Regions from separate parts of the Mus musculus genome. Here regions 1, 2, 3, 4, 6 and 7 are each reported to be linked to region 5. The links are microRNA targets in miRTarBase. Many come from high-throughput screens and were not tested one by one. Region 5 holds a microRNA gene; each other region holds the end of a gene's coding sequence. Distances are from middle to middle.
Evidence for each region. The annotated mature microRNA mmu-miR-297a-5p reads AUGUAUGUGUGCAUGUGCAUGU and lies in region 5 at 1,723-1,744, shown strand. An mRNA with a match to its seed (bases 2 to 7 or 8) in the 3' UTR can be bound and repressed. Matches are read on the target gene's strand: a 7mer-m8 pairs with bases 2 to 8, a 7mer-A1 pairs with bases 2 to 7 and ends in A, and an 8mer does both.

Region 1 (4,393 bases), not on the chromosome of region 5:
GACACAAACCTTTTATATTCACAGTAAGCCTTAAAGCTCTAGAGCTGGGCAGATATCAACTCTTTATGCTATTTTGTCTATTTCCTGTTCCTGTCAATAACCCTGAGATATAGATACCCCTGCCATGTTCCTCCTGGGTCTCTCCTACTCCAAGTGGCCAGCCCTCGTGGCTCTGCTTCATGATCTACCTACCCCATGGCATCTTTATACTTCTCTCCTTTCTTCCTCATGGTGTCTGCCTCAGACTACGAGCCCAGGATCGGAAGCCCCACATACCTCTCTTCTGCCCAGCTATAGGCTCCAGGCATCTTTATTCAACAAATAGTTTTAAAGTAAGGAGCTGAATTCAAAGCATCACTTGGTATACATGAGGATCTCCTCATTGGGGACAACCACATCTTGAGGGCCAGTATTTAGCATTAAAATACATAGCAACAGACCAAATCTCAACACTGTGCAAATATAAAAATAACTTTTTATATATTCTAAAAACAATTGTTTTGTAGTGGGAAAATAAAGTACATTTGAATAATAGGTATAAGGAATTTTCTAGATTTTTTTTTATACACGTTAATGAATATTTCTTTTTAACAGACATTGTCTTTCCTGCACTTGACATTCTTCGCCTATCGATTAAGCATCCCAATGTGAATGAGAATTTCTGCAATGAAAAAGGAGACCAGTTCAGCAGCCATCTTATCAACCTTCTGAACCCCAAAGGAAAGCCAGCAAACCAGCTGCTTGCTCTTAGGACTTTTTGCAATTGCTTTGTTAGTCAGGCAGGACAAAAGCTCATGATGTCCCAGAGGGAGTCACTGATGTCACATGCAATAGAACTGAAATCCGGGAGTAATAAGAACATTCATATTGCTCTGGCTACATTGACCTTGAACTATTCTGTTTGTTTCCATAAAGACCATAACATTGAAGGGAAAGCTCAATGCCTCTCAGTAATTAGCACAATCTTGGAAGTTGTGCAAGACCTAGAAGCCACGTTTAGACTCCTTGTGGCTCTTGGGACACTTATCAGTGATGATTCAAATGCTATACAATTAGCCAAATCTTTAGGTGTTGATTCTCAAATAAAAAAGTATGTCTCCGTATCAGAGCCAGCTAAAGTGAGTGAATGCTGTAGACTTGTCTTACATTTGCTGTAGCAGTGGGGAAAAGACGCTGAGGGGTTTTCTTTTTTTGTTTTGTTTTGTTTTGTTTTTTTCCACATTTTACATGACTGATTGCAGATGTTTAAAAAGAAAGAAAGGAAAATTGGATTAAGTTCAGATCTTGTAAAGTTGTGTTGAGGAGAAACAAATTATAAATAAAGTTTTTGCACTGATGGTTGTGAGGTTTTCCTGTGTAATGGAGTAGATTTTCAAGGGTGTAGAAATGTTAAAAACTATAACCAATAACAGCACAATTATAACAGCATTTTCTTCCTTACCTTCACCACTCAGGAGAACACAGAGGTTCTATAACCTGTTTCTGATCTATGACATCTTGTTCAGTTGACTGTTCTCTTTTGTACATTAGCTTCTCCACTTTCACTGTTGTATTCTTTCAATAGCACTGATGCATTTCAAGGTCTTCTTTTAGGATTTACTTGAAAAATCATTTCAATTAAGTTTGTTATAAATTGTAAATTGATAAATAACAATAATTTCTTGAGCCATTTGTAAATAGAAAGTATCATCTTTCATGGTTCAATTTTACATGAAGAAAGCACATTGGTAAGCTGTTATATTACATATCATTTCAGACAACTGAGGCCTTAAATGAGTATGGCTTAGGAGTTTCTTTCACTATATGAGGTAACTTCATTTTTTCTAGTTTTGATATCTTACAAGTTAAATCATTTCTTTTATCCTTCACCATTTGAAGTAGTAGTGTCATCTTTCATTTCAGTTTTGTACATGTTGATCATATTCATTATTTCAAAGAGAATATTTGGAATTTTTTTACTTTTACTAGGCAATTGTGTAAGCAACATTTATCAGACTTTAAAGTAAAAAAACCTGTCATGTGAAATTAGTATTTTTAGTCCCTGGAATGGTCCAGGTCTTACATTGCTATCTAATTCTCAAATCAGCTTTCTTTGAAAAGTGGTTATTGTGCTTCTGTTTTCAAAAGGAAAGGTAATAGAATAAATTATAATAGGAAGGTTAAACATGAACATAAAGGCATGAGTACTCCATGTAGTCTAGTCTACACAGAGCACTTGCCATGATGCAGCTTCCTGGAAAGCCACAGGTTTGTTTCTAAACAGCCCAGCAACTAAAACAAAGGAGACATCCTTTAATTGAACAATTCATTATGTCTATGACAGTGCTGTTTCTTCTTTCTTTTTTTGGTTTCTCCAGACAAGGTTTCATTAGCAGCTGTTCTGGCACTCACTTTATAAACCAGGTTGGCCTTGAACCCCGAAACCTGTCTGCCTCTGCCTCCTGAGTACTAGGATTAAAGCCACCACTCCCAGCTCAGTCCCTTTTCTTAAGAAGTGTACTTATATTGGTATGTGTATGTGTGTGCCTTTTGGTTTTATTTGTTTTTCGGTACTAGGGACCAAACCTGGTTGCATGTTGGGGAAGGTCTACTCACTGGATTACATTCCCAGTTCCAGGCTTTCGTCTTGATTATGGAAGAAATGGTTTTATAAGGACTTTGTTAAAAATGGTGAGCAGTGATCTCAACATTGCCATTATGGAGAGCCATGGGTTTCCTGACTTAATGCCATATCACAGTCTAAGAAGAACAAATTTTTTTCCACTAAGGGGAAGAAGATTCCGAGTGTTGAGATTAATACAGGAAAGAACTTCTAGAATATCAAAAGGGAGTGAGGAAATGTAAATAGAGGATGTGTGCTTTACTGAGTATTAAATTCCAAGTTCCTGTGTGTACCTGAACTTTAAACTTCATGTTGCTGTTTCATTTATGTATTCATACTTTACCTGTATTGAATTGAGAGTTAAATTTTTATATCAGAATTAAATGGTAAAAAAATCATCCTGGTGCCATTATAACACTTGGCTTGTTAATACATCCATTCTAGCATGCAATTTTAAGTACAATTTATGTTATATTTTGAAAAGCAGGGTGGGTATCTTTGAAAAAAGAATGGATGTGGTCTTACTTAAAACATGAGTTCACTCTTCAGAATGTAAGAGGTGGCAAATTGTAAATACTTTTGTTTCTTATCACTGGCTTTTTTATAACTTTTATTTGTACAGCCTAACAAAAACATAATCTCACTTGAACCTGTCAAATGGTGGTTTACATATTTTGTTTTTCTTTAAACTTTTTTATAGACCTCTTAATGTTTTCTTGAATATAAAAGAAATAAACATTCATTTAGTAAAGCATACACACATCTTATTGACTGTAATCCTACTAAGTAGAAAACCATTCTTAGTTTTATACTACCATGACATGTATGTAAATATGCATTTTAATTTTTCAAAAAGGGATGTATTGGTCAGAAACTTTAATATCCCATTATATTAATATACCCATTTTCTAGTATCTGAAACTTTCCTGCTTTTGATTATCAAGCAATGCTATTAAAGATTGCACAACAATCTTACCATTCCCTTAGGAATATATTTTATGCATAAAATTGATGGATCAAGTTAATAGGCAATTTTGGATTGATGTCTGTCTAAATCAACTCCACTAGGACAATTACAGGTTAGTGAATCTCCTACTGTATTTTCAACTACATTATACATTCAACTACAGACATACGTGATGTCCCTTTCATTAACTATTGTTTTTATCTCCTTATAAATGCTACTGCTGTGGTTTTCTTATGACTAGCTGCGTTTGTTTTACTGGTAATATATATCAACCACACAGCATTATAGTTTTTTTTTTTTTTAATCCAGTGCAGTTTGGTAGAAACATAGCTAAAGATAAATCTTTTTCAAAGATAATTTTGGAGTTAAATGTAGGTTACTTGGTGCTTACCACACAGCATTTTATGAAGAAGTGATAAGATGAATAGACAAGTGTTTGATGTGTTATTTTTCCTTCAGGTCTTTAAAGGATTTCCTCCTGCATGTCTTAAGAGAGAACTTAACTGCTCAGGATTAAGACTTACCCAGGGGCTGGAGAGATGACTCAACGCTTGGATACTTGTTGGTTTACAGAGGACCTGGGTTCAGTTCCCTATACCTAATGGTGGTTCACAGCCATCCATAACTCCAGTTCCAGAGGACATGGTCTCTTCTGACCTTTGTGTGCCAGGCACAAGCATGTGGGACATACGTCATACATTCATAGATATATACAGGCAAAACCTGTAGCTGCAAAAAATATGTAAATTTTAAAGTGTTACTTAGTTGTATTAAAATATACTTTCTAGGGACTGGAGAAATGGCTCAGTGGTTAAGTTTGTGTC
Region 2 (4,393 bases), 27 Mb from region 5:
GTTTAAGGGGCTAGAAAGCTGGCTCAGATTAGGCACTGCTCTTAGAGACCCCAGTGTGGTTCTCAAAACCCACAAGGTGACTTCTAACTCTTCCTGGGAATCTGACACTCTCTGCTGAACTATGTAAGCACATCCATACCTCCTCACACAGACACATAAATACACATCATTGAAAAAAAACTAGATCTTTAAAAATTCTACTCTTGTACTTTATACTTGTGTGAATTTGTGCAAATAATGTAAAATCTTTGGGTTAATACCTACATTTAGAAAATGGGGTTATTAAAGTTCTTCCAATGAGATTAACTCAAGAACCCAGTAATAGGTGAATTCAATTATTATAGTCATAATTACCACATGGTAGGAGAGAAGTAACTCCTGCAAGTTGTCCTCTAACTTCCACAGGTGCACCGTGGTATGAGCATGCTCCCCTTCCCCCACCCCCTGAAAGTAAAAGTAATTAAAAAAATTTCCAAGAGGAAAATCTGAATCTCTGGAAAGAGATTCAGTTGCTAAAAGTACTTGTTTTTATAGATGACCCAGGGTTGGTTCCCAGCACCCATGTGCTGGCTTACAACTTAACACCAGTTCCTAGGGACCCAGTGCCCTCTTCTGGCCTCCACAGGCACCAGCGTGCACCTGGTGCACATAAAATACACTCCATCCATACAAATTTTGAGAGAGATGACATAATATGAATAAGACACTAGTGTGAAGTCTCATGTGTTCTAAGTACAGGGTGCAGATCCACGTTGATCAAATGTGTTCTTTGCCTGTCTTTGTTTTCATGCAGATGACTCTAAAGGAGTTTGGTACAAAGGACAAGAACTTGGATGATGAAGAGTTTTTGCAGCAGTATCGGAAGCAGAGGATGGAAGAGATGCGGCAGCAGTTTCATAAAGGGCCCCAATTCAAGCAAGTTTTTGAAATCCCCAGTGGAGAAGGGTTTTTAGATATGATTGATAAAGAACAAAAAAGCACACTTATCATGGTTCATATTTATGAAGATGGCGTCCCAGGGACTGAAGCCATGAATGGCTGCATGATCTGCCTTGCCACAGAGTACCCCGCCGTCAAATTCTGTCGGGTGAGGAGCTCAGTTATTGGGGCCAGTAGTCGTTTTACCCGGAATGCCCTTCCTGCTCTGCTCATCTACAAGGCGGGTGAATTGATTGGCAATTTTGTTCGAGTCACTGACCAGCTGGGGGAAGATTTCTTTGCTGTAGACCTTGAAGCTTTCCTGCAGGAATTTGGATTGCTCCCAGAAAAGGAAGTCTTGGTGCTGACATCTGTGCGAAACTCTGCCACCTGTCACAGTGAAGACAGCGATCTGGAAATAGATTGAACTGATAATCTAGTTCCGTAGCTATCTCATTGTTTGGGCTGGAGGACACATGTCTGTATTTATTTCTGTCCTTCCTGTGTCTTCTGGCTTTACAGCTGTTCTTTGTAGTCTCATTTAGTATGTGAAAAGTCAAGAAATTCTTAGATTAAATCAGAATGCTGACTCACTTTGTAGCTAGCAGTAAAGTGACTTCAAATTATATAAGCAGGAAACTAGGTTCTTGAGCTGTTTACTTCTCTAGCGTGACATCTCTGATACTGTTTCCAGTCAATATTGACATGGCACCCTTGCAGGCAATGTCTTGAAAATTGTCTTCTGATGACCTCAGAATTCTACCAGTTCTGAGAGTAGAATTCCCTAGTGAGTGTGTTCTGTGCAATGTAAACAGTGCATTTCCATAATCACTTGATTGCAAATCATGTTTACTTGCAATCAGATGCATAGCTGTACTTTTTTTCTCTAGATCTGTCTCTACCAGGGTCCATACAAGGTTGGGAATGTAGCTCGGTGGTGAACTCTTACTATGCACATGGCCCCAAGATACCTGATTCCTAGCACTGTCAAGACTAAAGGTTCCAGATGGTGCCTGGTGCTGTAGTTAGCAGTGGCCTCTGCTGTGGCGGTCAGTGGTCCAGTCCAGCATAATGAACAGGAAAGGATGGTTTTTGCTGACTGCTGTCATGTTGGGAGGCAAGCATCTTATTGACTGACATTGGTGTGTGTGGAGCTTGAAAACCTCAGTGGGAGGATCTTTCTGTACTCCTGCTCATCAGTATCTCTTCCTGTTATTAACAAGGCGACTTCTTGTTTAACCTCAGCTTTTTTTAAATGCTTTTTTGCCTATTAGGAAAAAAAAATCATATTTAGTAGAGGAAAATTGGCCAAAATAAAGATGTAAAAATGGTTTAAAAATGTAATTCTGCCACCTAAATACTATATGTTTTGGTATAGTTCATATATAGGTTTTTTTTTTTTAATGTATTCATTGGCTTTTGTTTGTCTTTAAATGACACTGGGATAATTCTGAGCATAGTGTCTGATATTATGGTCAGCTACTAACATCAGATGTTTTTCATGTTATTAAATACTCTTCTGTAACATTTTAATAGCTGTTGATATTTCCACTGATAGATATACTGTAATATGCTTGGTGGTTGGTTTTTAGAAAGATGGCAAACTTTTTTATTATGAACCTTTTATTATGAAATGTGTCCCTCATAGAACATACAATAAAAATTAAGCTAAAAAGATATTTAAAAGCCATACAGTTTTACTACTGATAATTATGTCACCATTTTTATAGATCTCTTTATAGCTTTATGTGTATGTGTATATTTATAAAATTCATTGTCATTCAAGTTTTTTTCCTTTTAGTTATTCTTTATATGTTCTTGTGTCAGTGGAGAAGAAATGTAGTCTGGAAGTAAATATTAGCTTTAGTATGCACACTTGAGTTTTTTGGTTGCTCAGAAACTAACTGTAAATGAGTCTTGAAAGTGTCTGTTGGATTTAATCAACAAAAACAGTTGTCATTTTCTGACTAAGGAGCTTATTGTAGAAGTGAAGAAAATCATTAGGAACAGAGAAAGCTGATGTAAGTATTCTAGTTTTTTTCTTTCCAATCCTTCTGTCCCCATTCTTAATAACATTGATAGTTACTGAATTCTGTGTCCTACTTTATGTAATAGTACATACTAAAATACTTTGCTATATTGTAAAAGTTCACCATTTAAATAAATCATACCATATTGACTCAGCCCCTGTATATTAGATATTTGAATTCCTAGCATTTTGCTAAAGCATTTAACATCTTTGCGATTTGCACTGTGTTCTTGGCATTTCCAACATCCTGGTCTTTACTTTCATTTTTATGTACAGTCCCACTCACAAACTATGTTCTGGAAATTTGACATTGGTACTATTTTCCTACTGAGAAAGACTGCTTATATCCATGTCTTGAAGTGCTTATTACTTTAATAGTTTCAAAGTCATGGATCTATTTGATGAATATTTGAGCAGGGTAAGAGGTGGGTTTCAGTGTTCTGTATCTCTAGCCACCAGGAAAAAACAAATCAAAAGCACACTGAGATTTCATCTTACCCTAAGCAGAATGGTTTTTACCAAGAAAATAAAAAGCAATGCCAAGTGTGATTCCTTGTTCCTGTAATCCCAGCACTCAGCAGGTAAGGTGCAAGCATTGCCACGAGTTCAAGGACAACATAGGTTACATAATGAGACTGTCCTAAAAACAAACATAAACAAGCAAACAAATACCAGCCTTCTGCCTCAGAAGGGCACTTATCACTTAACTCAGGCCTGAGGACCTGAATTGCATCCCTGGAACCCACGTAATAGAAGTACAAAATCAACTTCTGAAACTTGTCATCCGACCTTCATATGTATATTAGTGTGTGTGTGTGTGTGTGCATGCATGCACGCACATGCCCATGTAGACACAAGGAGTTACACCTGTGAGGTGTCGTGATGGCACCCCCTTGAAGAGTCATGAAGTATTTGACAATAATCCCAGTGCTAGGCATAGGAAATCACCCCTTGACTTGGGACATTCACAGGGAACTCCTAAAATAATCATTGCCCTTTGACTGCCTTCCAGAACTCAAAGGTAAGGCCCTGTTGCTGAAGACACCCCACACTTTAGATACAGGGGTTTGAGAAATCAAACTGATCTTGAAGGCTTCTCCCTGAGCACTGGCTTTCATTATATTGGAAGCTGCCAAGAGGGAGATATAATTCATAGTTTTACCTAGATGTAAAACCTACAAAACCACAATGACCAGAGACCTAGATACCTCCAAGAGTTCAGTGGTGGCATTTTTATCTCAGGGCTACCCAATAGCTGTCTGGTAGACTTAACACCAGCTCATTGGGATGAAATTCACTATAAACCCAGACAGTTACCCATGGCCGGAGAGGAGACCTAGAGGAGAACCTACTATGGCCATTTTCCTAAACTAATATAATAATTTCTAATGGTAGTCTAAGTAATTATCCTTATAATCACAGGTAAATGTAGCTATTGCCCTTCAT
Region 3 (4,393 bases), not on the chromosome of region 5:
AAAGTGGATAGAAAAGGAAGAGTGGGGACTGGCCCAGTCACATGGGGTGGGTGACAACTCCCAGACAACTGTCATGCAACTGCATGCCACTCTCGGACCCAAAGGGCTACAAGGAGGAAAGAGGATTCCACAAAGTGACTGCTGGCAAGGACATCTCCAAGAGTAGTCTGTGGAGTGACAGGGAAGACCTGCTACTGGGCTAGGCTGGAGCACATTAGTGTTTTCAGTGCCTGTATCCCTGCTGCTTTTCCTGTCTATTTTCTTGGCGTGGTAGAAATTTTAGATCTTAGAACGCCATAGGGTGGCGTGTCTGCCTGTAGCAGCAAAGAGGTAAGCCATCGGGATCCACGGACACTTCACCTTCTGTGGGCAAGAGTGCTGAACACTTGGAAACTTGTCCTTCACTGAGGCTGGGTAGCTTGGTGTGTAGGGTGTGTCTTCCTTAAAAGAGTTTACAGCTGGTGTCCAAGGGGTGGGAAAGCACTCAAGGCATGCTGCAGGCCCTACAGCTTGAGACTTCTCGGGTGTCCTAAAGAAAATTTCCAAGGGTATTTTCCCACCTTTTCTCAAAATAATGCCTGCAGAAGTCTACCCTGTGGAAACAACAGACCCTGCTCTCTGGCCTTCCCACATGGCTGTTTCTGCTACAAAGGCTCTGCTAAGGTCTGGGTGGCTTTGAGAAAAGCTTCTAGAAAAATTGTCATAGGAAGGGCCATGCAAGTTGAGGCTGCTTCATTAAGAGCCCTTCGCTGAGGGAGCCTGGTGATACAGGCTCTAATCCTGTTACTCGGGAGGCTGAGACAGGAGATCCAAGGGCTGCCTGTGCTACAGAGCTAGTTTGAAGCAGTATGGACCTGCCTAAAAAAAAAAGTGTTTAAGGGCTGGGGACAGCTCTGTGGTGGAGTGCTGGCCTTCGCTTTAATCCCTAGTACCACAAAGCCAAATAACCCTGCCCTTGGAAATGACACCAGCGCACGTGGGACGCATTTCTAGGGACTGAAACACGCCACTCCTGACAGAAGCACTACACCCACCCGTCTTTAGCTAGCAAACTCAGAAGTATCCGTGGTGGCTGGCCTGCTAGGTAGGCTGCCAACATCTAGGTAGCCTTCTCAGTCTGGAGGTGCCTTGGGTCCTCATTCAATTGCCAAAGCAGATCCTGGCCCAGGCTCTTAGACGCGGCACGGGGATGGGAAACGTGGGATTTGGAGGCAAACCTCTTTGGTAGGAGGATTTGGCCTTATTGAAGAAGGTTGCAGAGTATGTTGGTCTCCCAAACCCAGTGTAACCTGCCTTTTCTCTTCTGGCTCCAGGCAACTAGCCCTAAAGGCTCTCAATGAGCGGCTGAAGAGAGTGGAGGATCAGTCAGCCTGGCCCAGCATGGATGATGACGAAGAGGAAGCTGGGGCAAAAACGGACAGTCCTCTGCCCTTAGAAGAAGCTTCCACGCCCCCAGGGAAGGTGACCGTCCCGGAATCCAGTCTCATCACCTTGGAGACAGCTCCCCTACTCTAGACCACTTTGAGTGCAGTTCTTCTACTCCCATGCCTTCCCGATCCGTCTCGGCTACTGCAGAGCACTGACTGCTCTGAGGAGAGGGAAGAGGGTCTGCTGGGGGTTCCTGTGGCCTTCCGCTGTGTCTGGACAACACTAACACAGGACCCTTGTTGCTACCTGGTTCTGACTCCAGACAACCACAATGCCAGGTACGGGGTCTCTGAGCAGCAGCCAGTGCAGATCCCCATTTGCAGTAAGATTGTACCTCAGCGGTACAATTCCTCACCAAGGAAGTGGCTGCAGGGACACTGGTGCCACGGCTCCTGGGCCAGCCCTTATGTCTGAAACTGGTTGCCAACAGCCCCGAGCCAAGGCAAGGATTTGTGTTTGCCAAAAATGTTCTGGGGACCCAGCCAGTGTGGGTCTGAACATCCCCGCCCACCCCCAGACTGCATTCTCATCAGGGTTTCTTGTGCCCTTCTGCTGTGGCAGTGACAACTGTGCCTAGCCGGGGCTGCCACAGCTCCCAGGTATTTTCTACAGGACCATCTGAGCGGGCAGCCAAACCTGCTTCACAGTATCAATAAAGCGGTTCTTTGAGGTCTGGCTCCTGGGCTCCGTCAGACCACCTTGTGCAGCCCTCTCATCTTTATCAGATGCAAAGTTAAATGTGTTTTCTGGGTTCTAGGGCTCAGTTCCATGACACCTCCACCTGGCTAAGAATCCCACTGCCCATACCTCTTGTCTATTAATACACACCTGCTGCTGGGCAGTCTTGCCTGAGCCATCACCTTAGTCCCTTTCTCCTTTTCCCTCTCCTCGGTCTACTGGGGAGACCCTCAGCCAGTGGACCTGACAGACTTCTCCATCAGTAGGTGCTGGCTTAGGCAGGGCATGGTGGCACATATCTATAATCCATGTCGCAAACAAACAAAACCAGGCGCTGAAGGCATAGCTTGGATGACAGAACACTTGCTTAGCATTTCAGAGCTCTGGGTTTGGGTCCCAGCACTACATAAGTGGGGCATGGTATGGACATACATGGTACATACATCTATAATCCTAGCACTGCGGTGAAACAGGAGAATCTGAAGTCTGTCATCCTAGGCCATGTTGTGAGTTCAAAGCCCACCTGGGAGACTTGAAACCTTGTCTCAGAAACAGAAGGCAAATTTCTCTTGTTCATGATTCTACTTTCTTTTTCCCTTTTGAGACAGGATCTTACTATGTAGCCTTGGTTGGCTTAGAGCTCACAGAGATCTGCCCGCCACCACAAATGACCATGGTTCAACTTCTAAGTCCATCTCCTGTCACTGGCCATAGTCTCCAGACTCTAGCACAATTAGCTGGAAATAGCTGTGCCGTCCACACTTAGCCCCCCAATGCACTGGGATCAGAGGAAGTTTCACAGCAGGCTCTGAGGACTCCCATTCAAGGAGGGGCCCCTCCTTACCCAGCTGACCATTTTCTTACCATGATGCATTAGCAAGAACCATCCTCAACTCTGCGCTGCTCCTCCCGACAGGTTTTCAGGATTCTGTTTGTTTATTTTACTTTTCTTTCCTCCATGATTTCTGGACATACCAGTACAAATATAAGCTGTATGGCTGCTGGGGAGACTGTTGCAACTCCAACTTCACCCAGACACATGACCATGCTCCCCTGGGTTGACAGCAAGAAAAGGGAGACACTCTAGTGTGAGGAGATCTACCCCTGAGTGCCCTAGTCCCTGAAATGTCCCCAGACCCTGTCAGTTGTGAGAGTCCAACAGGTTCCGAGCTCCTGGTCCGAAGCTGAGGTGCAAATCCAGCCTTCGTAATAACTGGTGAGTGCTCATGGCTGGATCCTCTTGCGGTACAGGTAGGCATTGCTCACTTGGTTCATGATTACCAAACTGGTGAGGATGGGGCACAACACAGCCAGGTACCAGGCACCACCAGTGACAGTGGCAGTGAACCAGAGTGAGAACATGCCCAACAGGAGGCTGGCACTGCCCAGCAGGTAGCCCACCAACCCAGAAGTGGCGTGGTAGAGTTTCAGCTTTGCCAGGGGCCATCGGGGCAGCAACTTGGGGTAGAGCAGCCCCATGCCCCCTGAACACTGCAGACCTGCCCACAGCACAGCTAACAGCCCTGCCTGCCCATGCCGAGTGGTCAGGTGTGCTTTGCCAAGCTGCTCTTTGTGGAGGATGACAAGACCTAGACCCAGCAGAGCACAGAGTAGGGCCAGCAGCTGGAGCACCCAGTGGCAGCGTGCGCGGACCTTCCGAGAGAGGGACCGCAGCAGGGAACTCTCAGGAGAGAACATCAGGAGTGCCTCGGTCATCAGGAAGGAGAACTGAGGAGACAAAAACTCAAGTGAGCTCTGAGCACTTAACCCTCCACAAAGGTGCACCCCCTTCCGTCCCCTTCCCCCAAGGACAAAATGCTGCACTTGATAAGATGAAGGCCCTGTGTGGCACAAAATGGCTGCCCTGAGTAGTTAGAGCTGCCTCTCCAGACTTCTTCCTGGGTGTTTTTCTGAAATGTCACCTCGGCTATGTGACCCAGCAAACAAGGTTTGAGACATGGCAGTTATAAATGATTCACAAGCTTTGTCTCCCTTCCATGGGGCAGGATACAATTTCTTGGCAAGAGCTAGCCACACGGGTGCACTGTTTCAGGGACAATTAGATGCATCACCAGAAATTAAGGTTTTTAGGGACAGAGCAGCCTCCAAATGCCATTTCTCAGCTTCCTAGCTGGAGGTGAGAGAAGCCGCCCTTTTGTGCTTGGGTGAGCTTCATCTGTTCGTCCTGGGTCATGAATACCGTTTTCAAGCCTTGGATATTCGTCAGAAGCAGGAGTGAGGACATACAGCTCGTCTACACTGGCACTAAATGCCTACAAGGATTCTG
Region 4 (4,393 bases), not on the chromosome of region 5:
TGATACAATTCTATGACAAATTTGTATCATGAACTGTAGATACAACTTTCTCATAGACAGCAAAAACCAAGGTAGGATGTAAAACATACTAAATTAAGTAGACACTAAGATACTGGCTGAGCAGCTCGCATCGCTTTCCCAGAACACATATGAGCATTTCGTGTAAGCTTAGTGACTGAAAGTACGTGGTGCTCCCTGAAAGCAAACCTAATTTAAGCCCAGCTCCCGCTTTGATCCAGACTTCTCTTTAGTTAATTTGAGTAAATTTTACATTGCCTATGAGGAACAATCATATTTAAGAGATGTGTAAGTCTGGCTAGAAACTCAAAAGTAGAGAATACTGATGACTTAGGAAAACAAAAGCAGGTAGCCTAGAATTATCACATTTTTTGAACCTACCTTGCATAAATGTAAGCTATATTCAGGACCTCCAGCAGTTTGGTATCAGGAAAGGACTCCTTGTGTGCTATTCATTAGATCTGGGCAAAATTCTTTCTAGTTCTAGCAAAGGCAAAGGCAAACCCCATTTTGGAGATATGTTCTACACCAAGGTGTTAACCAATCAAGATGTTAACCAACCAAGAATCCTCTCAACCAAGGGTAAAAGTGTTCAGAAGGAATTGTTCTGTGTTAGAGGTTTTCTACCATATCAGGAGCTGTGGGTCATGGGGTTGGTGACATCTGTCTTGATAAAGTAAATATCATGGCCAAATTCATTATCAATTTTTATTTCCTACCATACACCAAATGCACAGCACTGAACACAATTTTGTTGCAATGATGTAAGAAATATTAATCATTTGGAGAAACAGTATACAAACAAACTACTTCAAATAAAAACGCATACATCACTGCCTTTGTTTTTGTTTACAAAATACCCAATTTACAGTATCAATCATTAACATAGTTGAAAAGAAAATAATTCAGTGCATGTTATAAAACACAAGTACGAGGAGGCAAATAAATACAGATACACTTCATAAAACTATATGAACACAAATAAATTAACTGAAGCCATGTAAATTATAGTAATAAATACATAGGATTGCAGGAGATCTCTTTAAATAAAATATATAACAAACTTGTTAAAATATTTAGCAAAGTAAACTTCTGTCTTTGTAATAAGTGAGCCCATTTGTGTGCTTCTTTGAAGTATTGTGTAGCAAAATGTTCAAAGACATACTTTAATAGGAAACTTTGTGTCCCATTTATAGTAGACACTACTCGCAGTAGCTGCTTATTTTAAAATTGAGCTTTAAATAAACACCTTTCCTACCTAAGAACAGACATCTCATTTTCACTAAACTAAGATTCAAGAGTTCAAATGAACCCCAAGCCAAAGATAAGCGCCACGTGATGCATAACAATATCCACGGTTCCACGAGAGTGGAGTGACTATACCACTTCTCATGTATCAGAGCATGTAACAGTAGTAACAGTGAATTCAAGCCTGTGAATGCCATCACACTAAATCTAAATATTCATGAGGCTAATAAAAAATAAACACTTTTATTATAGCACAGAAAATTAAGCCCACACTAAAGTTCATGTGTACTTTTACATAGAGGCACATCTGCACATGAAATGTGTGTGCACACCAAAAAGGCAGTTTAGCTGGTTGTCTATACCTTTTCCTTAAAAAAAATAAATATAAAAAAACTTTTGAAACAATGCTTAACTACTTTACAGTCCCTGAAATAGACATTGCCTTTACTACAGCAACTTCTAAACTCTGATCCAGTTGAGATTGCAGGTTGAATTTCACGTGTGGATGAGTGTGAGTGCATATATGTGTGTAGACTGTGCTGTTGTGTGTGTGTGTGTGTGTGTGCATGTGTCTGTATGTGTGTGTATGTGCATGTGTGTACATGTATGTGTGTGTGTGTAACATCCTTTGTGTCACTTGAAGTTCAAGAGTTTTATCAAATTGAAACTGCCTTATTTATTAGGGAAGCAAAGACCAATGCTGCCAATATTCAAGGTAACCACTTAGCTTGGAATAGCATTTTTTTTTTCAGGCCTTCTGTTTTGCATTCTATTCCAGTCAACCCAGTAAGATAAATGCTATTTCAGGGGATACGGTATCTACACAATTTCCATTTGGATGTGTCTGTAGTTGTAAGTACAAATCTACACCAACATTGTCACTTGTATATTGTACTAACGTGTAGCAGGAAAAGCCAAGCTGGTCCCATCAAAGCTTATTTCTCATTTTGGGAAAGGGTTGCCAACTAGCCAATATGACTTGAAAAACAAGAAGACAAATCTGATTCACTTAAAATGTATGCTTTAAGCAGTCTAAATAAATAATTCATATTAATTAAATCTCTGCAGCCATGTGGAATACTATGCTGACTATTTTATTTAATTATTGCTATCAAGTTCTGAGTGCGCTGTTTGCTAACATCCTGTGCTTTTGTGAGTGTGGATTTCCCACTAGTGGGCGCCATTTATCTTCATAATCCTTCACAGCTCACATTACCAAAAGCCATTTATAAAAACAAAACCAGTAAAGGAGAAATGGAAGTGCACAGTAGAAACCAAGCTTGACCACAGTGTAGTCCTGACATCAGGATTTCCTTCATACATTTCTTTTGTTTTGTTTTTCTCATTTAAATCCAGAAAGATATGTGATTTGAGAACAGCATTTCTATTTAAATCCTATTAGAAGATAAATTAATAAACACACCTGTAAAAATATAGTAGACTTCAAAATGCAGTTAAAAGATAAAAAACTCTTTGATTAGTAATAAATAAAATATAAAATGTCACATTTATTTTTACATATACTTTACAAAATAAAGAGTGCAATGAAGAAAGAAAAGAAAAAGATATGAAAATAAACGAGTTTAATAATTGACTGCATTGCTTTTAATCCAAAGAGTTTATCATAGTTTTTCTTTCCTTTTTATGTCAGCTGGGGAAAAATTAGTGCAATGTTGCAATTATAAACACAGGGACAGCCTCTGGGCTCCAGGGGTATTAGGCCCCTGCAGATTTGTGGGAGTTCATGGCCGTAGTGACCTCTGTTTCCTGCATACTGTCGTTCTACACATGGATGCCCTTCACCGCCTGCTTGATGCTTTCCAGTAGAGCTTTGCATTCTGGGGAATAGTCCTGTTCCAGATTGCTGTACATGTCTGTGAGAGTATTTACATATGCTTCAAAATTCTGCTCATTGATAGGCCCCTGATGGAGACACAAGGAAACCAATCACAGAGGTTCAGCTGCCCCAAGGAAGATCAGGAGATAGTGACAAATGTTGCCAACTTATATAAGTAGGAAAAGAAGGGTTTATAGGACTGTGGCAGTTTGGGATAGGACAGAAAATGTGTGTGTGTGTGTGTGTGTGTGTGTGTGTGTGTGTGTGTACTATCTGTATACTCTTAACTCATGGCATTAATGGAATGCAATTGAATAGTATTGGGGATCAATCTGGAACCACATAATAAATGCTGAGCTAGAGGTGTCCAAACTATATGTCTTTTCTTGGGAAGAGTCTGGGTCTCATTTGCACTTTTCAGTATAAAACCAGCTGTCTGTGGAAAGTATGCTAGGAGGATGAAGCTTTTGCCAAGTGGTTCTTTAACAGTCCTATGTTGGAATGGCAGGGATTGTACTGAGCTGAGGAAATTAACAGCATCACCAATATAGCTCCCAGCAATGCATCTCCAACTCCAAAGACTGATTTACATTTGTGAAAATGTAGAATAAACTTTTTGTGAATTCTAAATAGTTGCATACTTATGAATAAGGGGTAAGGGATAAGAGATAAGGGATAGGAATAGGAATACGGATGCCTTGGTCACACACATGCATTCTATGTTCCATGAAAAGAAGTTGAATATTACAATGAGATTATTGGGAGTGTTATAGTTCATGAGTTGAGTAGATGATGCTGAGGGATGTATAGAATCAACTGTTTGAAAACATATTTACAGTGAGTGAGCTCTGGCATCCAGCTTTCAAATAACTTTATAAGATAGCTTTAAGTAAACCTTCATCCTTAAAGAGTCCTGGCCTTTTGGAATGCCACTGGCCTTGAATTATCTGAATATGCATATCTACCGTGTTCTTAGATTGCGAAAGCATTAAGCATGAAAATGAATCAGGGGTAGGTGACTGTCAATAGTTCAGCCACAGGGTAATGGAACAAAGACATTGAGGTAGATGATGGGGTAGCAGAGCCTTGCTCTTGGTCTTACCATCTGTGGAAGTTGGATGTCAGCAAGGCTGGAGATGAGAGCCTGGCTAAGCCCTGCCAGCTCCTTCAGCAGACTCTCATTGCTCTGTTCTATAAGCTTGTTCTCCTCCTCTATGGTCTTCAAGTTGCTCTCCATAGATGTTATCTACAGCAGAGGTAATGACATAAGAAGCAGAGTTAGAGGCCTTT
Region 5 (4,393 bases):
TTACTCACAATGTGAAAAAGCTTCCCATATTCAGAAGGATTAGGAGTTCAAATTTATGAATAACTTCAAAATGGCTTAGAGATCAGCCTGGCTTTATGGGTTCCTTCCCAGTGTATGTTCATGTTGCATAGTTTTGTGTGCTAATGTATGTGTGCATATGAATATACATATAAATACACACAAACACATACACACAGGCACACACACACACACACACACACACACACACACATACACACACACACACACACACACACACACATACCCCGAATGGCACTCATTGATACTTTTAAATGACATGTGACTTAAAGTTTTAGAGATTATGCAGGGCTGGATCAGTGGGTGCTCTCACTCACAAGGTGAAAATGCTTGCCAGAGTCAGGAGGATCAGGAGTGGAAATTCATTCTCAAATTCATGAGTCCAGGATCAGCTTCGGATTCTAGTGATGCCCCCAGTGTATGTGCCTGTGTGTATATGTATGTGTGCATGTGCATGTGTGTATATGAATATACATATACATACACACATACCCATACAAACATGCACACAAACACACAGAAAATTGACACTCATCGATCCATTTCAATGATATGTGAGTCTTAGAGATTCTGTATGACTGGGCCACAGAGAGGTCTCACTCACCAGGTGACGCCCCTTGCCAGAGCCAGGATGATCAGGAGTGCAAATTCATGTTCACTGCATGATGAGGTAGAGATCAACCTGGCATTCATGTGATGACCCCTATGTATGTGCATGTGTGTTTGTGTGTACATGTACATGTATATATATATTGATATACATATAAATACATGCACACATATTCATGCATGCACACGCACACATTAATGGCACTCTTAGATCCATTTGAATAACATGTGACTTAGAGGTGAGAGATTATGCAGTACGGGGACAGTGAGTGTTCTCACTCATCAGGTGTAGACAACTGCCAGAGTCAGGTCTATCAGGAGCTTAAATGCATGCTTACACTCATGAGGACTTAGAGATCAGCCTGTGATTTATGTGATTCCCCCCATGCATGTGAACGTGTGTATAGTTGTGTGTGCATGTGTGTATATGAATATATATAACATCCACACATGTATAAATGCAAGCACAGAAACACACAAACATAGGAATGGTACTCATCGATCCATTTGAATGATATATGACTTAGAGTTTTAGAGATTATGCAGTAGAGGGACAGTGAATGGTCTCAATCACCAGGTGTAAATGATTGACAAAGTCAGGAGGATCAGGAGTTCAAACTCCATTTAGAGATCATCCTGGTATTCATTTGATGCCACCCATGTATGTGCACGTGTGCTTACATGTGTGTGCATGTTCATGAATGTATATGGATATGCATGTGCAGACACACACACACATGCAACACACACACAAACACATGGTGACTTGCATTCATCTACTTGCATAATATGTGACTAAGAGTTTTAAAGATTATGCAGTACTGTGCCCGTGCATGCTCTTACTCAACAGGTCAAAGTGCTTGCCAGAGTCAGGCCTTAAAGGTATGTGACTTAGAGTTTGAGAGATTATGCAGGGCTGGATCAGTGGGTGCTCTCACTCACAAGGTGAAAATGCTTGCCAGAGTCAGGAGGATCAGGAGTGGAAATTCATTCTCAAATTCATGATTAGGTAGGGATCAGCTTCAGATTCATGTGATGGCGCCCCCCCCCCCCAGTGTATGTGCCTGTGTGTATATGTATGTGTGCATGTGCATGTGTGTATATGAGTATACATATACATACACACATACCCATACAAGCATGCACACAAATACACGCAAAATCGCCACTCATGGATCCATTTGAATGATATGTGACTTAGTCTTAGAGGTTCTGTATGACTGGGCCAGTGCGTGATCTCACTCACCGGGTGAATAATCCTTCCAGAGTCAGGAGGATCAGGAATTCGAATTCATGCTTAACTTCATAATGAGTTAGAGATCAGATGCGATTCGTGTGATGCCCACCAAAAATGTGCATGGGTGTATAGTTGTGTGCATATTCATTTCTCTATATGAATATGCATATACACGCAAGCACACACAGGAATGGCACTCATATATCCTTTTGAATGGTATGTGACTTAGAGCTTTAGAGTTTATCCAGTAACGGACCAGAGCTATGTCTCAGTTAGGAGGTGAGTATTCTTGCCAGAGTCAGGAGGATCAGGAGGTCTAATTTATGTTTAACTTCCTGATGAGTTAGAGATCATCCTGGCATTCATGTGATGCCCACCAATAATGTGCATGTGTGTATAGTTGTGTGCATATTCATTTCTCTATATGACTATGCATATACACACATGCATACAAACTCACATACAGGAATGACAGTCATATATCCTTTTGAATGATATGTGACTCAGAGCTTTAGAGCTTATGCAGTACTGGGCCAGAGCTATGCCTCAGTTAGGAGGTGGATACTCTTTCCAGAGTCAGGAGGATACGGAGTTCAAATTCATGTTTAACTTCATGATGAGTTAGAGATCAGCCTGGAATTCATTTGATTGTCCTTGTGTATGTGTATATATGTGTAGGTAAGTGTGCTTGTACATGCATGTATATGAACATACACACACACATACATATACACATAAGAATGGCAGTCATAGATCTGTTTGATTTATATGTGCTTAGAGTTTTATAGAGTGTATAATTATGGGTCAGTGTTACATCTAACTCACCAGGTGAAAACCACTTGCCAGAGTTAGAAGGATCAGGAATTTAAATTCATGCTTAACTTCCTGATAAGTTTGTGATCATCCTGGCATTCATGTGATGCCCACCAAAAATATGCATGGGTGTATAGTTGAGTGCATATTCATTTCTCTATATGAATATGCATATACACACATGCACACACACACACACTCACACACAGGAATGACACTCGTTTATCCTTTTGAATGGTATGTGACTCAGAGCTTTAGAGCTTATGCAGTACTGGGCCAGAGCTATGTCTCAGTTAGGAGGTGAATACTCTTGCCAGCGTCAGGAGGTCCTGGAGTTCAAATTCATGTTTCACTTCATGATGAGTTAGAGATCAGCATGCGATTCATGTGATGCCCTCCCCCATGTATGTGCATGGGTTCATACTTATGTGTGCATGTAAATGTATGTATATGAATGTTCACATACATATACATAAACACACACACTGGCATTCACCTACACGCACATTAGTGGCTCTGATCGATCTATTTGAATGAGATGTGACTCAGAGCTTTAGAGCTTATGCAGAACGGATCCAGGGCTAGTTCTCCCTCCAGGTGAAAATGGCTTCTGTGGAAACCTGACAGCCTGAGTTGGATCTCTGGAACTCAGCACACAGGCAGGCTATGGTGTGATTCTTTTGGTTTTTCGTACACCTGATGATTTTCTTTGAGTTTTCAGATTGCAATATATCTTAATTTAAAATTTATCGTTCATCTGGCTCGGGAGACTGGAATACCTCCCTCATTAATAGCTGTCTTCTCTTTCATTCTCTATGAAAAAGGTCACTTTTAATTGAATGGGGTTAAGAGGTAAAGCTGGGTTGCTCTTAATATTGAAAACATTTCTGGTCGTTAAAAACTAAGAATCCTTTTGCTTATTTAATAATTCTTTAAGAATTTTTTTAAAGTGTTGTTTTTCCCTGTCAACACTTGATATTTATATGATATTAGAGTCTATTTTTGGTGATATCTTTGTCTCCTAACATAATTCAAACTAGAATGCTGTGCTTGCTTTTACACAGAGAAGTGCTTTAATTGTTGTACGAAATGTGTCCCAGCCTAATTCTTTTTCTGTAAGAAGCAGCGTTGTGGCTAGTGTTCAGGTCAAATGGACTCTCTGGTTCCTCTGCCCTTGCCTAAGGTTCTGTTGTTTTTCTGCAGTATTCCCTGATCGTAAATAAGAAGAACTCATGGGAATGCATGAATGCCTACTGTTTTAAATGACCTTGGAGCACCCTGAGACATAGGCGAATATTGCACTTCTTCTCACTGCTTTCGTTGGTTTTCCGTTGATTTTTGGGTCTAAAATACCAGCGCCTGGTCCCGTGTTAGGACACCAAAGCAGAGCCCACTTTGCAAGTGTTTTCTCGTCCATTATGGCCGTACTATTAGAAATCTGTTCTCAAGGCTCATTCCTGCTCCGCCATTCTTGCCATCCTTGTTGCTGATGTCTGAACTCACAGCTGAGGGTTTGGACTCAGTGTTTCTTTTCTAGTGGGACCCACTTCTTCTCTCTCCTGAAGAGCTGTGTCTCTTTCCTAGGTTCTGTGATGGTGATGTCTTTGTTTTCTTTTTCTCTTCCTTCCCTTCCCCTCATTTCCTCTCCTCTCCCTCCTTTCCCTTCCCCTCCTCTCTCTTCTCTTGTCCCTTCCT
Region 6 (4,393 bases), not on the chromosome of region 5:
GTCAGCACCTTCGCTGGGTTTCAAGTGTGAACTGCTGCCCATGGTGGCTGCTTTATCAGACCTCTGAAAGGTCAGAGCTCTGAGCTGTCACCTGCCTAATGTAGTACCTTTGCTCTCTAGATCCCACGTGTAGATGGGGAGTATGACCTGAAAGTGCCCCGAGACATGGCTTATGTCTTCAGTGGTGCCTATGTGCCTCTGAGCTGCCGAATCATTGAGCAGGTGAAAAAGAATCACTTTCGCTTCAATTCCTATTGCGCTCTTTATGCTGCTTTTTCTTGGTCCTTGGCCCATCTCAACTTTCACTTTCCCAGTAACTAGCTAGGAATGTGAGTCTCACTGCTGTTCCTTTCCTTTCCTAAGCTTACTGTCAGAAGACCTGAAGCCAGTGTTTATACCTTCCTAGGTGCTGGACCGGCGGAGTTGGCAGGGCCTTGATGAAGTGGTACGGCTGCTAAACTGCAGTGAGTTTGCATTCACAGGTATGGGGCATTGTTAGTGCACTGTGCATGGCCAGGGAGAGCTAGGCAGGACCCATGACCGTGGACTGGGTGTGATAAAGATGGGAGTCCACTCTGATCCTCAGACACGGCTAAGGAAGACAAGGCTTCCAGTGAGTCACTGCGCCTCATCTTGGTGGTGTTCCTGGGGGGCTGCACGTTCTCAGAGATATCAGCCCTGCGCTTCCTGGGTAGAGAGAAAGGTGAGAGCGGGGTTGCGAGGGTTCTGGGGACAACATGTGCTACCCAGGAAGGTTTTCCTGTTGACTGTGCTACCACTTATACAGCCTTGCTGGGAACTGCTGCAGCAGGAGGCAAGGGACCATAGTCCCGCCAGGCTGGACACATAGCAGTGCCCTAGAGACTGCAACGGAGAGTTGGGGTTTTTTGTTTGTTTGGTTGGTTGGTTTTTTTTCGAGACAGGGTTTCTCTGTGTAGCCCTGGCTGTCATGGAACTCACTTTGTGGACCAGGCTGGCCTCGAACTCAGAAATCCGCCTGCCTCTGCCTCCCAAGTGCTAGGATTAAAGGCGTGTGCCACCACTGCCCAGCCAACAACTGATAGTTTTATTTTCTATTTTTCTCCTCACTTGTTGGGGACAGGCAGGTCCAGATGTGTCTATGCCCAGATGTATCTGTGCCTGTAGCCCTGCATTCTGATCCTGGGGCACTGAGGCGCTGTGGGAGTGGTGGGCTTGGCCTGTTGGGACCTGAGGTCTATTTAGTCACTTCTGCTACTTCTCTTGACTCTTAGGGTACAGATTTATTTTTCTGACAACTGCTGTTACAAACAGTGCTCGCCTCATGGAAGCCATGAGTGAGGTGAAATCCTGATGTTTTCCTGGCCAGTGCTGAAGTATTTCCTGATTGTGGATCCCAGTGAGATGCTGGTGTTTGGCATCTACCTTCTACGATTCCTGTCACACACACACACACACACACACACACACACACACACACACACATATACACATACACACACACACATACACACACACACACACACACACACACACACACACCCCAGCTACACTTAATACTCAGAGCTGGGAACTTTGGAACTAATTTTGGGGGAGAGAATTCATGTCCTATCCTCCAGGATACTCCTCTTGCTTATAAATTGTATATAGTTCATGCTGCTAAGATATGAGGGGAGAGGTATTCTTTGCAAATCCTGTTTGAATATTATTGTAAATAAAGCCTCTGTTCTCTCTCTCTCTCTCTTTGTTTTTTGTTTGTTTGTTTGTTTGTTTGTTTTCAAGACAGGGTTTCTCTGTATAGCCCTGACTGTCCTGGAACTTCCTCTGTAGAGTAGGCTGGCCTTGGACTCAGAAACTGCCTGCCTCTGCCTCCTGAGTGCTGGGATTAAAGTGGTTTTTAAACCACTGCTGGGCACCTCTGTTCTCAAATGCAATATCTTTGTAGTCCTAGACATACAATCTCCTTTTTTACATAGTGAGACTTTCCTGGGGGCTTCATGTGCTTCATGACCTGGACTTTCATTGTTTACTCTTGGAGGAGGTTTGGTCTGTTGCTACATATTGTAATGTTAAATTTTGTACCAGGAGTGAGTTCTCACATTTATCAACCTTTGTTGTACAAACCTTGCTCCTTAATTTAAAACTATTGGTTAAATAAAATGGAACAGCTAATTACTGGAAGGATTAGAGATAGGTGGGTTTTGAGTTACATGGTTGGAAGTTGCAACAAAGGAGAAAGAAAGGAGACAGAGGGAGGAGGAAGCCACTGTGAGGGAAGATGGACCATGAGCACAAGGCCAGGAGAAGCGGCAAGTGTCTGGGATACACCACTGGGGAGGTAGTGAGGCTAGCAGTTAGAAAAGTAGATTAGGGGTGACTGCCAGTAACTGTCATAGTCAAATAAAATAACCATAGCTGGGTCTCATTCTTACGTAAACTAGACAGGGATAAGATTAAAATAGTTCAACGATCCTGGGCCTACTCCGTTTTCCCTGGAGGGAGTCACTAACCTCCCGTGTATAGGAGGAGGAAGGCTGCAGTGGCCCACAGTGGTGCACACACGCCTTCCCATCCTAAGGTTCTGTGCTCCAGTACACTTCCAGAAGATAAATGTGTTACTGCTCTAACTTAAACAGACAGGTTTACTTGTTCCTTTTTTGAGACATGATCACTGGCTAGCCTAGACTTATGTAAACCAGGCTGGACTCGAAGTTATCATGATCCTCCTGCCTCTCACATGTTGTAATTACAGGTTTCTATTACTGTGCCTAGTAAATAAAATATTATGTTTTGTTTTCTAAAAGTAAGAAAAAAATCTTTCTGATGACAAACTCAATGACTTTCTATAATCCCAGCACATGGGAGGCTGAGGCAGGAAGATGACTGACAAGTTCAAGACCAGCTTGGGCTATGCAATGAGTTTCATGCCATCCTGGTGTACAGAATGACACCTTGTCTCAGAAAAAACAGGTGTGTCAGGGTGTGATAGCGCTTGGCTTGCTAGGGTGTGATAACCCTAGCACTCAACAAATAAACAGGCAAATAAACAAATATCTTTATAGTTGTAATTTTACTACTGTTATGAATCAAATATCTGTTATGTAGGATGTCTGCTATTCTACTCCTGTGATAGGGCTATTTGACACCCCCCCCCCCCCAAAGGGCTCAAGACCCACATTTTGAGAATCACAGCTTTGGATTCTACTTCCTAGACCCATGCAGTGGGAGGAGAAAACTGAATCTTTTAAGTTGCCCTCTATTCTCCACACATGACCACCCCATATACACACACAAATTTAATAAATGTATTTATCATAAAAAAGAGAAGCAAATAATGAGACTCTTATAGATGGTACAGTTGACCAATACAGAAAAGCAGACAATTTTAGTTATAATTCAGTATAAACTAGATTTTGTTTTATTTTGGGCCTATAGATGGAAGCTAGTGGTTTAAAAGCGCATTGCTAATCACCAGTGCTGTGGGTAACAAGGATACTCCAGGTAAAGTTTGGTGCAGAAGATAGGTTAATAAGTACCTCTTCGCAAAGGAGAATTCAATAATTACACTTCTACAAATCATTTTGGAGGAGGTAGCAAAAAAGAAATTCATCTCAGCTTTATTACAAATTTTAGTCTGAGTAGCAAAGGAGATACTCCCATAGCAGTGTATTAGGTAATAGTAAATCATTGAAAATGGGATACAGATGCTATGGGTCAGTGGGAAGAAAAGGACACACAAATACTTTGGTTGTTTTTTGTTTTTGTTTTTTGTTTGTTTGTTTGTTTGTTTTGGTTTTTCGAGACAGGGTTTCTCTGTGTAGCCCTGGCTGTCCTGGAACTCACTTTGCGGACCAGGCTGGCCTCGAACTCAGAAATCCGCCTGCCTCTGCCTCCCAAGTGCTGGTATTAAAGGCGTGCGCCACCACGCCCGGCTACACAAATACTTTGATGTCATGTTCAAATTGTGGAGTTTTCCTGATTTACCTAAATCTTATAATGTGCAAGAAAAACAAAGCCCAAATCACCATTTGCTCACAGCTAAATTGGGCAAGTCAGTTTTTTCCTGTAGCCCAAACTATTTCCCTGTCCTGTCTCTGCCGCCTACGTTCTGGAAAAGCTACTCAAATCTTTTTCTTCAGGATAGTGATGATCATTATTAACAGGTGTGTTCTAATGATTAAATGCGATAAACTTGTCCACTAAGGTACCAGGACCAAGAGCCTGGTTTTTTTTTCCTTCTAAGCTTTCCTGCTAGTCCCTGCTCCTCTTGGGACATTGGAGAGTAGCAAGAAGTCGAGCTGTTCTGGCAGTCTACCCAATACTTCTCAGGAAGCACAAAAATTTGAAACCCAACGGCAGCAACTCAGTGGGTACCGGTGACATCATCGGCCACACCCCTACACCCCACCCTTGA
Region 7 (4,268 bases), not on the chromosome of region 5:
GATGCCCACAAAACAAATCCACCATGCACACATTGAGACACATACATATACACACAGAGACACACAGAGATACAGATAAACACACAGACACACACAGAGAGATTCATCCTCACACTGAGAAACCTATATCGAGACACATATGAGATACATAAAGACACATCCGAGCACACACTCACTGAGACAGACAGTGATAAACACCAATCTACAGGCACATGAAGACACATAACATGAAGAGAATGGAATGGAGTGATTTACCAGTTCAATTTGAAAGTAGGAAAATTACTAAATGCTGTGAATAATATGTGACTTGTCAGTGGGCCACTTATCAAACACTCCTTTTTATTCTTTAATCCTTTGTTTACAGTCCAGTATTCATCCCCTTCCTATTCTGCCATCCCCTGACTGCTCCCCATCCCATACCTCACCCCTCACCCCCTGTCTCCAAGAGGATGTACCTCCCATCCCCCAATCCTCCCCCACCCCCAGACCTCCCTACTCCCTAGGGTTTCAAGTCTCTCCAGGGTTAGGTGCATCTTCTCTCACTGAGGCCAGACCAGGTAATCCTCTGCTGTATATGTGTTGGGGACTTCATATCAGCTGGTGTATGCTCCCTGGTTGGTGGCTCAGTATCTGGTCTTGTTGGGATCAGAATCTCTCTCTTTCTCTCTCTCTCTCTCTCTCTCTCTCTCTCTCTCTCTCTCTCTCTATATATATATATATATATATATATATATATATATATATATATGTATATATATACATATATATATATCTTTATTTTCATTTCAAATGTTATCCCCTTTCCTAGTTTCCCCTCTGTCATACACTCTTAATGATTCAATCAGTTTTCATAGATGAAGAACTGAGTTGGACTATTTGGACCCATGGTCACTCAATCCTGGAAATTCTTTTTAATTGTTGCTTTAGTCAACTGGAGATTTGTTTTAAGTTTATTTCAAGAATTTCTTTGAGATTATAATGTAATTACCACATTTCTTTCCCCTCAAATTCTTAGCCTCTTTTTTCAATTAATTCTTATTGAGCAAATACATACATATGTATATACATATATATTTCCAAGTACAACTTGCTCAGTCAGTATAATATTACTTCTATTTATGTAACTTTTTAACGTGCTCGAGAACATTAAGAGGCCATTTAGCTTTCCTTGAAGCTACTGGCAGCCTTGGGACTTACGTAGAATGTTTCCTCTACCTTAGCAAATTCTGCAGATTAATCATTTAACTAAAGAATCTTGCATTGGGTCTGCTTTAGAAGATGGACCATGACCATGAGGCTCTGAGCTTAAGGCAAAGTTGCAGAGTTTTCACCAATATTTTTCCTTTTCTTTCTTTTCTTTTTTTTTTTTTTTGAATTGTATTTTATCTTTGCTCAAGATTGCAGAAAAGATCTTTACTTCAAAAAGACAAGTTTCAACTGGTTTAACTTGCCTGAAGCTATTAAATAAAATGCTGCCATTATTCTTGTTTTAGAGAAAAACCAAGATAGATTTTCAGATAAGAAAAAAATGACTATCATTATAAATTCAAGAAACTGACTATATATAAAAAAATCACTGAATTGTGTTCTGTATAAGATGCATATCTAATGAATAGGAAGTATGTTCTTTACTGTATTTTCTTCTGATTTTCATTGTTCTTATAAAATGAATGTCTTGAGTATTTAAGTAAACACATAAATAATACTTTTAGTATTTGTTTGGACTTGATGGTGATATTAAAATAGATCAGAGTCTATAATTATCCATTCCAGTCTGTTGCATACACATGAATAACTAAATTCAGTTACTATCAAAAACTTCAGAATGGTTGTTGATTTCCTCTCAAACATAAGTTCGTAGAATAAAAGTCCTTTCTATGCACAATGTGTGTGTGTGTGCTTGTGTGTGTATGCACATGTGTATTTGTACTTATAGTAATGATTCATTGTAAAGAGAATAAAACAATTAGGAAATATGAAATGCTAGTTTTTCAAGAGAAAGAAAAGTATTGAAATTAAAAGCCAAGTCCAAACAAAAGAAAAACTTGAAGGTCAGGGAGATGGCCCCATGGGTCCAAGTCCTTGATGTACGACCCTGATGATTCAAGTGAGATTCTGGGATTCCAAGTTGGAAAGAGGCAATCAATCTCTGGCATTTGTCCTCTGCCTTCACATACATCCTGTGGCATATGGATGTCTGTGTTCTGGTATACACACACACACACACACACACACACACACACACACACACACACACACACAGAGAGAGAGAGAGAGAGAGAGAGAGAGAGAGAGAGAGAGAGAGAGAGAGAGAGAAATACTAAATTAATACAAAGAAAAGCTTGGTATTGTAAATTATTTTTTCTAGCTTTTCTGCCAGTACAAGACATCCATTTTCAACTAAGTAACACCTAACTTATACACATATTGAAATATTTTAAGATTAAAAGTTCCAAGAATTAAATCTTATATCTATTTTTAATAAAAATTAACATTTGGGACATCACATAATCACATGATTGCATAATAATGTTTATTCTTCCTTACAGGCCATACATTTGTTTAACTAATGAACATATAGATATAGCTATAGATGTCATATTAACAAGAAGGATACAGAGATAAAGACTGTTCTTAGCAGAGAATGTGAACACTGAATTAACACCAGGCATCTCAGCTTCATAAATTATAAATGAAAACAAGAGCACTATTGTACAATAACATGAAGATTTATGAATAAACTACAAGTCCTCTGAAAATATAAGCTGTAAAAGATTCATTGTTAAGTACTGTGTCCTCGGATAGTCATAAATTCTTTCATGGGTATTGCCTATAAATGTCTCCATATTTTTAACGACTGCATTTCAAGTGTTGTAATGTACAGAAGAATTTATCTAGAGTGTGTACTAGAAATACTTCGAGATCACACCAGTGCTTGACAAAGGCATCGTATCACTAGTGTAGATTATCTCCTCCCTGCACCCTCATCTCTCCAATCTCAGTCTGTGAAAATGTGAGGCTGACTTCAAGTACGACATTGCAACCCAAGGGACTCTCAGCAAAGGCTATGGTCAGATATCTGCGGCATCATTTGGATGTCAGTAATGATAGAAAGCTGTGGTTCCCACTCTACCTTAGACATCCTGGATAAGAACCTATATTTGTAATAAGTGACCAGGTGTCAGCAGGACGTACTAAGTTTAAGCAGCACTGATTCCATATGATGCACAATACCAGGAACTTTTTTAATAAAGTAATTACATCTATTTTCCTGGCACACCAATGTACCACTTGATGCCTTTCTTGGATATAGTCTAGAGAGTGTGCAACAATGTGATTTCATCTTTGTGTGAACATCACAAAAAATCACTAAAACGTAAATGGTACACGGGATTCCCTCCATGAGGCCTCTTGATGTCATCCAGAATAGCTAATGAGATATCTGAACTTGCTAGTAGAGTCATGTGGCATATTGGTTCACAGGAAACTTTTAAAAATAAATAAAAGAGTTATACTTTAATAAATTAAAAGTATAATACTACAGTATATACAAAATATACATCTATGGGTCTTACATATCCCACATTTCCTCCTAAATCTTTTGTCATGGAATGCCACACTAAATAACAATCTCAATTTCTCTGGCCTTTTGGCCTCCCCTTCACAGTATTGCTTATTATATATATATATGTATGTTGCTTACTTTGGTGTTTGATTCTGCATGATTATGAAGAAACTCAGAAACAACAGTTTCTACATTTTGCCTTGTAGGATCATTTTACTACAATTCCTAAAGAAACAGCATAGGTTTCAAATCTCAGACATAGTATTGTATAGACTACAACTACTTTCAAAATGAAAAAAAGTGGTTCACAGTTTCAATATGTACTTTTATTTTAAACAGCAGCACACCAGACACAATGACACAATGGGACCATACTCTTTATACTGATAACAGCTTTTGACAGGCTAACTTATAGGTCACATGGATTACTACTATCCAGAACTATTTAAATATTTCCCTAAGTAACACTATAAAACAGAAATCCTAAATATATACCACTTGCAAACATAATGTGCTTTGTTCCTGCTTTCTTTGTACTCAAACGTCGTCATTTAAAGTTCCTCAAAGTCATGGCCACTTGTATTCATTGTTTCAGGGTTCATGACTCGTCCCATGAATAAGATTATGCCTGGATTGGTTTGGAAATGAACAGAAGAGGAAAGAAAACCATGAGACCTATATTTCCTGGAAGCAATGTTTGGAA

Region 1: miRTarBase lists Plaa as a target of mmu-miR-297a-5p. The part of its 3' UTR that is shown has no 7-base or 8-base seed match.
Region 2: miRTarBase lists Pdcl as a target of mmu-miR-297a-5p. Seed matches in the 3' UTR shown: 7mer-A1 at 1,828-1,834 and 8mer at 2,568-2,575.
Region 3: miRTarBase lists Cyb561d2 as a target of mmu-miR-297a-5p. The part of its 3' UTR that is shown has no 7-base or 8-base seed match.
Region 4: the mRNA of St18 is a reported target of mmu-miR-297a-5p. Seed matches in the 3' UTR shown: 7mer-m8 at 1,870-1,876, 7mer-m8 at 1,850-1,856 and 7mer-m8 at 1,840-1,846.
Region 6: miRTarBase lists Vps33b as a target of mmu-miR-297a-5p. Seed matches in the 3' UTR shown: 7mer-m8 at 1,470-1,476 and 7mer-m8 at 1,484-1,490.
Region 7: the mRNA of Serpini1 is a reported target of mmu-miR-297a-5p. Seed matches in the 3' UTR shown: 7mer-m8 at 3,690-3,696.

Annotation. Positions count from the first base shown.
Region 1 is chr4:94,566,111-94,570,503 of GRCm38, reverse strand. Plaa (phospholipase A2, activating protein) reads left to right here. Exons shown (of 14, transcript NM_172695.2): 14 at 595-4,393. The coding sequence ends at 1,157. Among named protein-coding and RNA genes, the nearest start is that of Caap1, 12 kb to the right of the region's middle.
Region 2 is chr2:37,348,783-37,353,175 of GRCm38, reverse strand. Pdcl (phosducin-like) reads left to right here. Exons shown (of 4, transcript NM_026176.3): 4 at 794-3,102. The coding sequence ends at 1,345. Among named protein-coding and RNA genes, the nearest start is that of Pdcl, 8.4 kb to the left of the region's middle.
Region 3 is chr9:107,536,552-107,540,944 of GRCm38, forward strand. It overlaps Cyb561d2 (cytochrome b-561 domain containing 2), which reads right to left. Exons shown (of 4, transcript NM_001357289.1): 4 at 2,460-3,834. The coding sequence ends at 3,331. It overlaps Tmem115 (transmembrane protein 115), which reads left to right. Exons shown (of 2, transcript NM_019704.2): 2 at 1,314-2,105. The coding sequence ends at 1,515. Among named protein-coding and RNA genes, the nearest start is that of Cyb561d2, 3.4 kb to the right of the region's middle.
Region 4 is chr1:6,857,256-6,861,648 of GRCm38, reverse strand. St18 (suppression of tumorigenicity 18) reads right to left here. Exons shown (of 22, transcript NM_173868.2): 21 at 4,206-4,349; 22 at 709-3,189. The coding sequence ends at 3,049. Among named protein-coding and RNA genes, the nearest start is that of St18, 130 kb to the right of the region's middle.
Region 5 is chr2:10,515,355-10,519,747 of GRCm38, forward strand. Mir297a-4 (microRNA 297a-4) reads left to right here and starts at 1,713; the gene lies at 1,713-1,810. All of the region lies in intron 10 of Sfmbt2 (Scm-like with four mbt domains 2), which reads left to right. It overlaps Mir466l (microRNA 466l), which reads left to right and starts at 743; the gene lies at 743-863. It overlaps Mir669i (microRNA 669i), which reads left to right and starts at 2,250; the gene lies at 2,250-2,376. It also overlaps Mir669h and Mir297a-3.
Region 6 is chr7:80,289,862-80,294,254 of GRCm38, forward strand. Vps33b (vacuolar protein sorting 33B) reads left to right here. Exons shown (of 23, transcript NM_178070.4): 20 at 121-222; 21 at 407-482; 22 at 587-703; 23 at 1,254-1,718. The coding sequence ends at 1,333. Among named protein-coding and RNA genes, the nearest start is that of Prc1, 2.4 kb to the right of the region's middle.
Region 7 is chr3:75,640,600-75,644,867 of GRCm38, reverse strand. It overlaps Serpini1 (serine (or cysteine) peptidase inhibitor, clade I, member 1), which reads right to left. Exons shown (of 9, transcript NM_009250.3): 9 at 2,345-4,193. The coding sequence ends at 4,117. Among named protein-coding and RNA genes, the nearest start is that of Platr10, 13 kb to the left of the region's middle.